Arabidopsis thaliana: one gene and its partner. The protein of the gene in region 2 purifies or fractionates together with the protein of the main gene of each other region. This does not show direct contact. Each region holds a gene or a part of one and is shown on either strand. Other genes may lie near its edges.

What was found. The genes of interacting proteins can lie anywhere in the genome.
Region 1: the proteins of c-NAD-MDH1 (region 2) and AT2G20420 fractionate together in Arabidopsis thaliana (co-fractionation; one large-scale study listed by BioGRID). This does not show direct contact.

What each region holds. Positions count from the first base shown.
Region 1 is NC_003071.7:8,802,103-8,809,226, reverse strand, and holds AT2G20420 (ATP citrate lyase (ACL) family protein), read right to left. Parts: upstream 3,886-7,124; 5' UTR 3,654-3,885; coding exon 3,555-3,653; intron 3,372-3,554; coding exon 3,261-3,371; intron 3,179-3,260; coding exon 3,067-3,178; intron 2,970-3,066; coding exon 2,905-2,969; intron 2,810-2,904; coding exon 2,732-2,809; intron 2,623-2,731; coding exon 2,548-2,622; intron 2,442-2,547; coding exon 2,289-2,441; intron 2,206-2,288; coding exon 2,071-2,205; intron 1,982-2,070; coding exon 1,817-1,981; intron 1,731-1,816; coding exon 1,608-1,730; intron 1,519-1,607; coding exon 1,369-1,518; 3' UTR 1,056-1,368; downstream 1-1,055. Other genes in the region: RIC6 (ROP-interactive CRIB motif-containing protein 6), read left to right, coding at 102-560; AT2G20410 (RNA-binding ASCH domain protein), read right to left, coding at 5,033-5,074, 5,168-5,707, 5,802-5,861, 5,943-5,993, 6,110-6,177, 6,287-6,430, 6,552-6,666. UniProt on the Arabidopsis thaliana protein: Succinyl-CoA synthetase functions in the citric acid cycle (TCA), coupling the hydrolysis of succinyl-CoA to the synthesis of ATP and thus represents the only step of substrate-level phosphorylation in the TCA.
Region 2 is NC_003070.9:1,187,122-1,193,535, forward strand, and holds c-NAD-MDH1 (Lactate/malate dehydrogenase family protein), read right to left. Parts: upstream 4,338-6,414; 5' UTR 4,147-4,337; coding exon 4,104-4,146; intron 3,785-4,103; coding exon 3,626-3,784; intron 3,520-3,625; coding exon 3,344-3,519; intron 3,187-3,343; coding exon 2,909-3,186; intron 2,820-2,908; coding exon 2,684-2,819; intron 2,592-2,683; coding exon 2,480-2,591; intron 2,392-2,479; coding exon 2,297-2,391; 3' UTR 1,874-2,296; downstream 1-1,873. Other genes in the region: CRY2 (cryptochrome 2), read right to left, coding at 1-43, 139-363, 468-780; AT1G04420 (NAD(P)-linked oxidoreductase superfamily protein), read left to right, coding at 4,513-4,737, 4,818-4,913, 5,093-5,176, 5,292-5,452, 5,597-5,714, 5,804-5,939, 6,022-6,200, 6,339-6,414. UniProt on the Arabidopsis thaliana protein: Catalyzes a reversible NAD-dependent dehydrogenase reaction involved in central metabolism and redox homeostasis between organellar compartments.

The DNA.
Region 1 (7,124 bases), on a different chromosome or scaffold from region 2:
TACTTGACTCAAATCTACGAGGTCATATATATTAAAAATTTGACCTAAAACGTTTTCAGAAAATGTCGAATTGATTTGGTTAATGTTATGTGATTTGAAAGATGACTGAGTTCAACTCCGGCGGGGGATTCGAATCTGCTGAAGGAGTCGGAGAAGATGATTCCTCCATAAAATGTATGTCGGAATATGGTGGTCGGTCTAGAGATTTGCCAAACCTACCAAAATCTACGAGGAAAGCAGCGTCCGAGAAAGGTTCTCCGACAAAAGACAAATCATCAGACAAAACTAAACGTCGCTCTTCTAACAAAGGGACATCGTCATCGTCGAGGAGACCAAAGGAAGCCACTGAAGAACAAGACGAGTTGTCTTCTTGGCCTAGTGGATTACCGGAAATTCCAAAGAAATCTAGGAGGAAGAAGAAGTCGACGAAAGAAACCGCGGTTAATGGAGGGTCATCAAGATCGACAAGAAGATCTGATGTCGATAACATGTCGGAATATATGTCTGAGACTGGTTCTGTGAGATCTATGCCTCAATTCGACAATAGAGATGATTTTTGAAAGGAGAGACGACATATATAGAGACTTTGCTGCTAGCTCCAAATGGCTAATTTTCATTGAACACAACACACCAATTGTTAGATTTTCTTGTTCATTCTTGTACTATTATTAACTATGCAAGGAGAATTTAGACAAATATTTTTCGGTGCTATCATCCAAATCACTTGAACATAGATCATCATTGACGTCGATCATAAATATAAAAGAGCATTCTTACAGAACAAATCAACAGCATCTTTCACTTTACTAGAAACCCTATATATGAATAAAAACTTCTTGGACAAGAGCTGAGTAGTGTTAGTGTGATTTTCCTCTTCATCATAGCCCTCAGCAATAGAGCTGCATCACTACAACAATGGAGCTGCAATCCTGGTCAAAAGTTTTTGTAAATAATCTTCTTTCCTTTTGGTAATATAATTAACATTCTATCAAAAAATAAGTTTATCGTTTTGACCGTTAAATTGGAAACAGAGGACAGCTCTGTTTTGTGAAAGCCTTTTGTAGAGAGAGGGATTAATTTTGTTGTTTCAGTGACAGCTATAGTGTGGCTTCCCACAAAAACGATTTTTATTCATGATAGGAACAGTACGTATGAGATAAACTTGAAACCCTAGTATCAACCATATGAGTTGGTTAAATACAAAAAGATATTGAGAATTCTGATTTGAATCTCTTTGGATGGATCACACAAAAAAAGGAGACCAGTTCATTATTGATCTGTTTGAGGAAATGATATCCGCAAGAAAGTGTAAATTGGGCGTCAACCACAAAACAATTAACAAACCGGCTTTTGGTATATATAGAGAGATTAGTGAGCTAAAGCTTTAACCGCTTTCTCAGCTGCATCATCCAAATCATCAGCTGTTATGAGTTTCATTCCACTTTCCTTGAGGATTCTCTTTCCCTGCTCAACATTCGTTCCTTCTAGACGAACCACCACTGGCACTTTCAATGCGACCTGTCCTCGCCATTCCACACAAACACTCGGATTTATTTTCAATCATGAATATATGAAATATTATGGTAACAAGGTTGTTTCTCACTCACCTCTTTTGCAGCGTTCACGATTCCACTAGCAATCACATCACATTTCATTATCCCACCAAATATGTTCACCAAGATTGCTTTCACTTTATCGTCCGATGTCAGTATCTTAAACGCTTCCACCACCTTATTTTTTGACACAAACCTCTATTAAAATTGGTTTTCATTCCAATGATTCCCAAAAGTGAAGAAAGAAAGAAGGTTCCTTTTACCTGGTGCTCAGAAGCATTTCCACCAACGTCAAGGAAATTGGCGGGTGTTCCACCGTGTAATTTAATGATGTCCATGGTTGCCATGGCCAATCCAGCACCATTCACCATGCAACCAATCTCTCCATCTAAACCGATGTAGTTCAGGTCAACTTTAGCAGCAGCCACCTATGAGACACAACACACTATTCCTTTTAACATCCTATCGAATTAACATAACAATGGCTTTCTTGATGATACAAGAGATAGACAGAGACCTCTCGTGGATCCTCCTGTGTTGGATCACGCATGGCGAAAACCTCTTTTTGTCGGAACGCAGCATTATCATCGAAGTTCAATTTGGCATCAGCAGCTACCAATTGATTAGTTGATGTCTCCGCAAGGGGATTGATCTACAAGAGAAATTTGGAGGTTCAACAAAAGATATTTATAACTGAAGAAGTGTGTAGAAAAAAGACAGTGAGAGAGAACTCACTTCCAACATTGTGCAGTCAGTCTTGCGGAAGAGTTCGTATAGCTTCTTCACTTGTTCAATCGAATCTTTTCTGTCAGCAGCTTTGGGAGCCAGACCATCCACAACCTTAGCAGCATCTTCATCAGTGATTCCTGCAAATACATCAATTGGTACCTACGCAAAACCATGACTTGAGGTGTCAAAAACCCGCATGAGAAAGAATCTCAGAATGATATTTACTGGAGATCAGACCACCAAATACGAATCAAACAGTAACAACCTTGATGATCATGTCAGGGAACTTCTCAGCAAGATCTTCAATACTGGTACCACCCTTTTTACAGGCAATGATCAACTGATATAGGAAAGGAAAGCGTTTTAGATATTACAGCAGGGTATGAAAACAGCATGCCTAGAAGTAGGGAAATGAATAGCAGCAGCTCATCATTTGCGTAGTAGCATACCGGTCCAGCAGATTTACGGTCCAGAATAATGGAAAAGTACATCTCATTGACGAGTGACAATTTCTCACACAAGTAAACCTGCTCAAAATGAAGACACAATGAATAAACAAAGGTGCAAGAGCAGTGACAATAATAGAAGAAAAAACACCAATCATGAATAACAGATAACAAACCTTGCTAACTACTTTGCCTTGAGGACCAGTTTGCTTGGTGACAAGTACTTGTCCTAGCATCTTTCCTACAAGTAATAAAGATTTGAAATAGATCAATAACTTGTACAACAACAACAAAAAACAGACTCCAGAAAGCCACAAACAAGAAATCCTGTACAATACCAGCAATCTCTTCAGCCTCATCACGTTTAACAATGTGAACACCACCCTTAAGACCACTCTTGAATGTTCCAAGACCTCTTCCACCAGCCAAAATCTGGCTCTTAACAACCAACTGTATCACACGAAAATGACACTCTTTCAATTAGACAACAACTAATAATAGAGATTAGAATCGAATCCCTCACTGAATTTACCTCGCTTTCATTAGGGAAAACATCTTGAATAGCCTTTTTAACTTCTTCCAACGAAGAAGCAGCTACTCCTTTCGGCACATTAACTCCATATTTCCCCATCAATTCAGCTCCCTGGTTGTATCAGAATCACAATACAAACTTTACATTATCCTAAACCCAGAGAATTCTATCAACCACAAATCAATCAGTGGATCAACACAGAAACAACAGACAAAGACACAGATCGTACTCGAATTCTGACTTGACAAAAGCGAATCTAGGCAACTATCAAATGGAAATGAAGAGAAGAAGAACCTGATACTCGTGGATGTTGAGACGACGAAGCTGTTGGTTCTGCCATTTCCCGGAGATGGAGAGAGATCTGGACACGAGCTTGTTCACCAATCCCCTCATCGTTGGATTTGTTAGTAGTCGAAAAGTAGCCCAAGAGAAAATGAGAAAATGTAGAAAGAGCAGAGAATAGTCGCAGCTATGAATGATCGAGTCTAACCCTAATTTTTTCCTACTTTATGAATTTTCAATTTAACCCTCTCTATTCTTCTATGTCGCCGGCTCATTTAATTCCAAAATATTTTTGGTAACTCTTGTTAGAAAAAATCTAAGATTTTATTTTCAAAAAGTCTATATATGAAAATACCAAAGTACCATTTTAATTCACTAACAATATAACAATAAAAAAACTAAGCAATACAATTTTTCAATAAAAATGCTAACCCACTAGAGATTGACATCAGATATATCGCCGGATAATTTTTTCCTTTATAAATCTATAATTTTATTGTATATAACATCGACTGATTGTGTATTATTTGTAGTATTATTTTACTTGTATATGACTAAATATTTATATGAATAAATTTTATCCGACTTATCGACAAGACAAATTTTTAGTTACTGTATTTTAGATAATAATTTTCAGTTTATTTGGTTTTTTAATTTCCAGTTATTTAATTTTGAGTCTAATTAAAATAAAAAAATGATCATTTATTGTTTTCTCAATACATTTGATATTATTTACTTTCTGAAAAAATGAGGATACTTACAAAAGTTTCAATTATTTATTATGTACTTATGATATTACTGTTATCATCACCAAAATGAGCTAAGCCAAAAGCTTTAGTATTACTGTAAGGAATCTTCCACCGGTACGGTTGAGTAAGTTGAGTAAACCGGGATTACTCAAAAAGAAAAAAATTGTTGTCATTGGAACATAAGCCCCGTTCAGTTAGTCCGATGAGGACCAAGTGAATAACTGTCGTGAATCGAACGGCCATGATGTCATCGACGGAGAGACAACAGAAGCTCCACACACGCGTCTCAGCTTATAGAATCTCTCCACCGCATGATTCTCTCGTTACCGAGGCCGCATCTCTGCGAAAAGTGGCCCGGGGACTTTCCTGGGTCGGAACTTAGACAAGCCCATGTGACCCATTCACTTTGTCCAATGACTATTGTTACTTGTTTTCGTTTTCGACTAAATATATACACAACTGATATTTTGAAACTACCGATGTGGGACAAACCCCCCAAAAATATAAACATTCTTCTAAATCTGACCAAAATATAGTAATTTAGTAAAATTCGACTAAACAGTCTACTCAAAACTCATTGCTCTGTGTATTTATTAGTCCACATGATTATTCTCTCATATAAGTTAAATTGAATGTGTATACAATAAACCTATAAACTAACTCTAAAACGAACTTCTCAAACTTTGAAATGAACATGTTTTAGAAAGAATGCAAAATATGGTACAACCTTGACGCATTAGATCAAGAAGGTGGCTTCAAGTTCCTAATTGCAGCGGCCATGATCTGAAATAATTCCACATGTGAAATAAAATCAGACAACAACAAAGTCAACAATTATTGTTGTAATTATCGCTTAATGTAAGATAATAAACGTACCCGGGCAGATCCAGGATCAAACCTTCTTTCACCAATTCTTGTATTCCTGTCCTCACTCTTTGTGACTGCACTTCTTTGACTAGATTCAACTTTGCTGCTGCTGTTGCTGCTTTCACTACATACTTCTTCACCCATCTGTGTGCCTCTGTTCTTGCTTCTTGTTCTATAAGTACGGTCAGACGTTCCACCAGAACCAAGAACCGGGTTATCTAGGGATTCTGCTGCTTCATCTTCAATAACTTTGCTCTTGCTTCTTGTTGTGTAATCAAATATATTATTTGTTTGGAGACTTTGTCCCTTCTTAGAAAATTGTGTCGCCGCTGCTTTTGCACCGGCGATTGCAGCTGTGAGGCTGGTAACTTGCTTGATTGCAGCTGTGAGGCTGGTAACTTGCTTTGAATCAAGTTCTTTCTTCTCTTGCATTGTACAAGGAATAGAACCAGGTTTTAAGGAAAACGGGTCTTTTGGGTCAGGAAGAGGGAATTTCACCTTAAAAGAGTTTTGAGAAGGCATAAGACCTCTAGCTGCTGCTACATAAATCTGTTTCATTTAGAAATACAGTAAGTAACTGGTACTAATTTATACTACAACAAGAACCCACCAATCCCTAGGCTTTGAAGAACAGCAAGATTACCTTATTCTCTAAGTTATAGACGCCCTGGTACCCACGCATCTCAAATGGAATAATCAGTTTCTGGAAGAGTTCACAGAATCAAATGTCAAATAAGTCAATCTAAACAAAACAGTAACAGCCAAAAGATGAAGTGACTTTCACCTGTGGCTTCTCACATAGCCAACAAAAGTTAGTTTGTCCTTCAAGCCTCACCTATTACATACCAAAACAACAGTTGAGGTTTTTGCTTATTATACTAAAGAATCATCGATAACGAGCTGTTTTCAATGTCAAAGAATAGAACACAGTAATAAGGAAAATTGTTGTACCCCTTGAGGTAAAGCATCCCAGTTCTGAAGCTCATCGGAGGTGACACATCCAACAACCTCAACACATCCTATACCAACGAAACCGTATTCAAATATGTTCCAAGCAAAATCAGGTCTTGCTTATACTATAACATGGAACTTAGACTTTCAAATATGGAGATTAGTAAACAACGATACCAATTAGTCTTGAAACAGGGTAATGTTGGGGGAATTGAATATCAGTGATCCCATCAACAGCATAAATTTGTTGGTAAAACTCTTCCATTGCTTTGATAGTAGCTTCATCAGGTACTTTACTTGCAGCATGAATCCATAAACGGCCTATTTACATGTTTAAAAACAACATCATCTTCTTCTTCAAAGTTATGCAATTATCACAGTGTTTCAAATTCAAATTAAATCTCAGTCGAATCCCTGAGTTCAAAATTAGGGTTTTTTTTACCTCGAATTGGGGAAGGCCAGGATCTGCCTTCGATGCGTTTGATACCATGGACGAGAAGTGATGCCCATGGCTGATGCATGGTCAAGCACGGGTTCTTGTAATTCCCACGACTCATCACTCTTTTTCTTCCAAAATCCAAATATCAAAACCTATACTTAAACCTAATCGAATCCAAATCAACCAATCACCAAGGATATATCCAATTAAGCTCAAACCTAGAATATGAACAATTCCAAAATCGAATTTTTCTCACCTACGAATTTGAGTTTGTCCTCTGTCGAGAAGACGTAGGTTAATTAGTGTTTAGCTCCGTCAAAAAGTTTTTATTAACTACGCTTATATCAATAATTTGGAAATTATAAAGTAAAGTAAATCATTTTACTATTCGATTGGCGGGTTGAGCCAAGCCCGTGCAGTAGTGCAACGCATGGGCGACTCGCGGAAACCCAGGTAGCAAGCTACCTTAATGGGCTTCCTCCCTTAAAAAATAGAGTTAATATCGTGTGGGCCGATGGCCCACATATCAGATATTAAACTGATAAGAACAGATACTACACTTGATCTTAGCCAAAA
Region 2 (6,414 bases):
AGCCCTAGTTCTTCAATCGAACACGCCCAAATCGCTTCAGCCGCTAACAAAGAAAAAGCCATAAACTTTTACTACCGCTTATGTCCTGAAGAAATCAAAAACGTTTTAGCTTTTAAGTAATACTCTTTAAGGTTTTACCTGCAGTTATTGGCATCAACCGCCAAGGAGGAGGAAGCATAACGGATTCAATCGACATATCTAAGCATTTCTTCCAGTAAGAATTGAAACTCGTAAAAGGTTTGCCCTTTTCGCAGTATATCTCCCACGGTTCATACAATAGATCTCCATTGTAGCTTTGCACAGAGATCCCACGTTCCACCAGCTTCTCCTTTACGGTATGGTCCCGAACTAACGAAACAGGATCTACAACAAAGAAAAACGTGATCGCATCAACCTCAGTTGCACTTAGACTACACTAACTTAATAAGAATATATATCCTTTGAATAAGAGATGAAAGAGTATATACCATAGAGGTGGTTAAAGACGACTTTTGTAGCACCGGTAACGCGGATACAATCCAAGATCGCTGAAATCGTGTTGTGGGTTTTGATTAAAGTGAGGTCAGATCCAAGAGCCTTCAAGGATTGAGATAAGTGAGCAAGTGATTGTTTCATCCACCATCTTGAAGCTCTTCCAGGATAAAACTGTCCTTCTTCTTCAGGACACCAAATGAAGACAGGAAAAACAGATCCTTCGTGAGCAGCTGCTGCTAATGCAGGATTATCCTCAATCCTTAGGTCTCTTCTAAACCAAACTATAGTCTTTTTGTCCATCTTCATAGTTATTATGATCACAGATGAATCAAAGATCAAATCAGCTAAAATTCCACACTCTAACCAAGTTGTTCCATGATTTCAGACCTCAACCTCCTCCAGAGAATAGTTCTATAACAATAACAGAGAATGATTGATAAGAAATCTGTAATCTTTGAGTCCTAAAATCCAAAATAATCTACAAAAAAACATAACAGAGAGAGATTCGATTTAATCCTAATCCTTTTAAACAGAGCAAGCAAGAGAAATTCAATTGAGAGAAACAAAAATCAAAAGCTGGAAACTTTTTACCAGAACTCAAATCAGAGTGGATATCTCTCGGCGACAAAGATCTTCGAATCAAAGACTGTGAAAGTTATTTTAGTGACTTGACTCTTCTTTCTTCCTATTTTGGGTATGCAAAGTTAAAGATTTGAGATCTAACGGAGACCAAAAACAATACCCATATGAGAGTATGAATGTTAATAATTGTGCAATATAATAATCACAACGAGACAAAAGTAGACAACTTTATCCACAACTAGTGGCGTGTGTTCTTATAATAGCGTTTTTTTTACCGACATCTCATCTTTGATTTGCTCATCTACGATTTTATCGGGATCATGTACGAACTTTCTCTTGTGAGATATTTTTTTATAAGAGATCGAATTTTGTTTGAATGTTGAGTGGGCCTAAAGCGCAGTGAAGATACTCTTATCTTCTTATGCTAGAGAAAAAAGTTTTTTAACGTTGGGGCCGAGGACGGTGGTTCATGAACTCGATTCTGGTCATGCCCACTTTTGTAGAATCCATTAAATATCTAAAGTCTATATGGCTTAAAGGTGAGAACTTGATTCTCATTAGTCATTACCAAGTAGAATCTATAATCAAAATCCACTGCTTTTACTTTACAAAAGGAAAAAGGTAAAGATAAAAAAGTTCTCTCAAACTTTGAATCCTCGTATACCCCTTATTAATGGACCATTGCCTACGGTTTATGATTCGATTTCGGATAGTCGTAAAATAGAAGCAATCTAAGTTTTTTGGATGTATATTTTGGTGTCAACTTGGTGTTTGGTTATAAAATATTTGGGTGAAGAAAAATAGAAGTAAAATTAAAATAATCCACATTAGAATTTCAGTTTAATCTAGTGATTTGGTTTTGGTATGAATCTGCAAGAGTAGCATTTCTTTTTGCAATTGCAACACAATAACACCATTCCTCACAAATCACAATTGCACAAACCCATTATCGAAGAGCTCATCAATTTTGGGCTAATTGCTAAAGCAGAAAAAAATAATCGCAAAAGATAACCATGCAACTGCCAATTTTCTTCTTTTCATGGGTAAACCAAATCAGACACATTGAAAAAAACGATATCCTGGTTTAGAAACAGACCAGGGACAATACTCATCAAAGAGACCAAAGAGGTTATAAAACAGTGTTTGGAGATCTTTCAAACACACTTCTTATTCGGACAAAGCCCTGAAAGGCTTTAACTGATCTCACACCTTATAGATGAAAATTTTGCTCCAGAAGGGTTTAAGAGAGGCATGAGTACGCCAAGTCCTTCTCTTCCTTGAGCTCCTCTGCAGTCAAATCCATCTTCTTCCTTGATACTTCATCAATCGGAAGGCCTAACCAAACAAAATACACATTAGGGTCTGCAGAATCTAGGATTTCATAATTGATGAGCATTTGAGTTTGTAAGTGCGTCATATTTACCTTGGACAATACTCCAGTCTCCATTGCGACAAGTTACAGGGAAGGAGTAGATAAGTCCTGATGGAACGCTGTAAGAGCCATCGGAGTATACTCCCATGGAAACGAACGTACCCTGACAATTTGAATCAAAGAAAGAACTCATATTAGATTAACTGTTACAAAAAAACAGCACTGCAAATAACGGGGAAGAGTTTTATTATGAACCTCTGGAGTTCCAAGGACCCAGTCACGGATGTGGTCACAAGCAGAGCTAGCAGCAGAGAGCGCACTAGACAACTTCCTCGCCTTGATGATTGCAGCTCCACGTTGTTGAACTGTAGAGATAAATTCTCCGTCCAACCTACAGAATGAGCAATATATTTAAGTGAAACTAGATTTTGCTTCCAGAGAAGAGAAAGGGTCTTAAGTTCTATGGCATGTTATACATACCATGCATCGTCCTTGACGAGCTCACGGACAGGCTTCTCTCCAGACGAGGTCTGCACTTTAGCATGGTTGACATCTGGGTACTGTGAGGATGAGTGGTTTCCCCAGATGATCACGTTCTTAACATCAGACACTGGCACGCTCAACCTCTCAGAGATCTGTCCCAAAGCCCTGTTGTGGTCAAGCCTTGTCAAACAAGAGATGTTCTTTTCAGGGATTGATGGTGCAAATTCCTTGAGGATCAATGCGTTGGTGTTTGCCGGGTTGGCCACAACAAGAACCTGAAAAAAAAAAGACAAAACGAGAGCGAATGTGTGAGCAAGAGAGTCGTAAACTAGAACCCAATAGAGAACACAAAGCATCTGTTACACTCCAATGAACAGAGAAGATTGGATGCAGTGGCTTCATTTAACTTAAAAAGCAAACAGATCGTATCACCTTGCAGTTAGGAGCGGCATGCTTCTCCAAGGCAGCAGCCTGAGACTTGTAGATGGAAACATTCTTGGACATCACATCCTTCCTCTCCATACCTTCTTTCCTCGGGAAACCACCAACCATAACAGCAACATTGACTCCAGTACATCCCTCAACGGCATCAGTTGTAGCAACAACACCTGATAATAATACACATCAAATATTCATCTTCTCCTTTCCCACTTATACAAAACAACTTATGACACGGAATGCAAATATCCACAGCAAAACAAAACCCTTAACTACCTTTAAGAAGAGGGAAAGCAGCATCGATCAACTCCATCTTAACACCGTTCAAAGCTTCAGCAGCTGGAGGAATATCCAACATGTGGAGGATAACAGGTTGGTCAGCACCAAGCATGATACCCCTTGCAATCATAGGTACAAGAGCATATCCGATTTGTCCTGCATAATCACAATCAATAGTTACTTTCAGTAGCTGAGGAGATCTAAAGTCACAACTTAAACTCTATCCAACTATATAAACAACGGTTTCTAAATCAGAGTTCGATCCATGAAATAACTTTTACTAAAATTAGATATGCGACCAACTCAATCAATCGTTGGTCAGCGTTGAATCCAACGGAACAAGAGTTGACCTATATTTCATTGATCTATGGAACAACCAGATACTATGCAGAGATCTGACTAGATTCAGCAAGCGATTCACTAGCCAGAGATCTAGAAGTTACACGATCTAATCGGATATAGATGAAAGTTATACCTGCAGCTCCAGTAACGAGCACACGAACTGGTTCTTTCGCCATCGGATCTAGATCGGAGATTATCGCCGGAAAACGGATCGAATTTGGGATATTCGACTTTTGAGAGAGCGTAGAGTCAGCTTTTGTCTGACCGTGAAGCTCACTCTTGCGTATTTATCGAAGATATCGAAGGATGTACCGCCACGTCATCTAATATAATCATATTATCTCGAAGAAATAAATCGAAATCTGAGATTAGACCTATCATATTAGGAAAACAAGATATTATTCAATATATATTTTTGACTCTAATGGGCCTCTTACATTAGGCCCAAATCGTTTAGCCCAGAGTATTCAAATACGTGAATCAAAACAGTAGATAATGGTGGCGATAAGGCGAGAAGAACCACGTCCACGACAACCTCCGGTATGGCGTCATCTTACGTCACCTACTCAACGGTCACTCCGGTGGTCAGCAGCAGTAACATTCGAGGAGTCTTTCGTTTGGCATTCACGCGCCGCCGTGTTACTCTATCGCCGAATGCTCGGAGGAGAATATTGAGAGTTTCGGCGAAAGCGTCGACGAAGAATGCTATGGAGTATAGGAAATTAGGAGATTCCGATCTCAACATCAGCGAAGTTACTATGGGCACTGTAAGAACAATCTCTCTTTATCTCCTGCAATTGTAGTCCATTGTTCAATTTTGAAGTTTTGATGAAATTTGGAATTTCAGATGACATTTGGGGAGCAAAATACTGAGAAAGAATCTCATGAGATGCTGAGTTATGCAATTGAAGAGGGCATCAATTGCATTGACACTGCTGAAGCTGTGAGTTTTTATCTTCATTGTTCATCTTTCTCTTCTTGCCTGGTGAATTTGATTGCAAGTGTTTATGTGAATGTTTTATACTTTATATATAATTCTGGTGAATTTAGCACTGTTGTGTTTAGCTTTCTGGAATCTGCTTAGTCTGTGGTAAATTTTCAAGTATCATTGTTTATTTCCAGTATCCCATACCGATGAAGAAGGAGACGCAAGGTAAAACGGATCTTTATATCAGTAGCTGGTTGAAGTCTCAGCAACGTGACAAGGTATCAACCATTTATCATACTTTGGATGCATATTGGTCACGAATGTATATGATATCAGCAAAACCTAATCGAAGTTATAAAAATTGATATTGATGTTCATTGTTTCTGTATACAGATAGTTTTGGCAACTAAAGTATGTGGGTACTCAGAAAGGTCAGCTTACATAAGGGACAGTGGTGAGATTCTGCGTGTAGATGCTGCTAATATCAAAGAAAGTGTTGAGAAAAGTCTTAAGCGCCTTGGAACTGATTACATTGACTTGCTTCAAATACACTGGTAACATCGCCTTATTTTTGCTTTATGTCTTAACTCATATTCTACATTGTTTGAGCAAGTGTCTTTCTATTTCATGCGCAAAATATTTCGTTTTTCATCATCAAATGTCAGAAAATCATGACACTGATCTTTTTTTCAGTCCAGGCCAGATCGATACGTACCACTCTTCGGTGATTTTTACTATGAAACGTCGAAATGGAGACCTAGTGTGCCATTCGCTGAGCAACTAAGAGCCTTTCAGGATCTCATAGTTGAAGGAAAGGTAGTGCTACTCCTTAAAAATCAGATGTTATATTGAGTTATATAACCTCAAACACAGAGTTTTGAAGTGTTCCTCGAATTCTGCAACAGGTTCGCTATATCGGTGTCTCGAATGAAACTTCATACGGAGTGACGGAGTTTGTTAACACAGCAAAACTCGAAGGACTACCAAAGATTGTGAGCATCCAGAATGGTTACAGCTTGCTAGTTAGATGTCGGTATGAAGGTAAATCTTTCTAGAATACCTTGAGAGCAAGTGTGTCGGAGGAGCATGTTCTAAACTCTTTTGTTTTGGGTTAAAACCACAGTTGATCTGGTAGAAGTATGCCACCCAAAAAATTGCAATGTTGGCTTGCTTGCTTATTCCCCTCTTGGAGGCGGCTCGTTGTCTGGGAAATACTTGGCTACAGACCAAGAAGCTACAAAAAATGCAAGGCTGAATCTTTTCCCAGGATATATGGAACGTTACAAGGGATCACTAGCCAAGGTTTCTTCTTGATCCAACTATGCTTACTTCTTCTTATGTCGTAAAACAATTTAAGAAACAGTATTAGCTCGAATCTAGTTGTAAAGCCATATTCGTAAAAGTGTTTTGAGGTCAATTTTATCTTTGTTCTGATTTCAGGAAGCAACCATACAATACGTTGAGGTGGCGAAGAAGTACGGTTTAACTCCGGTTGAGTTAGCACTCGGGTTTGTAC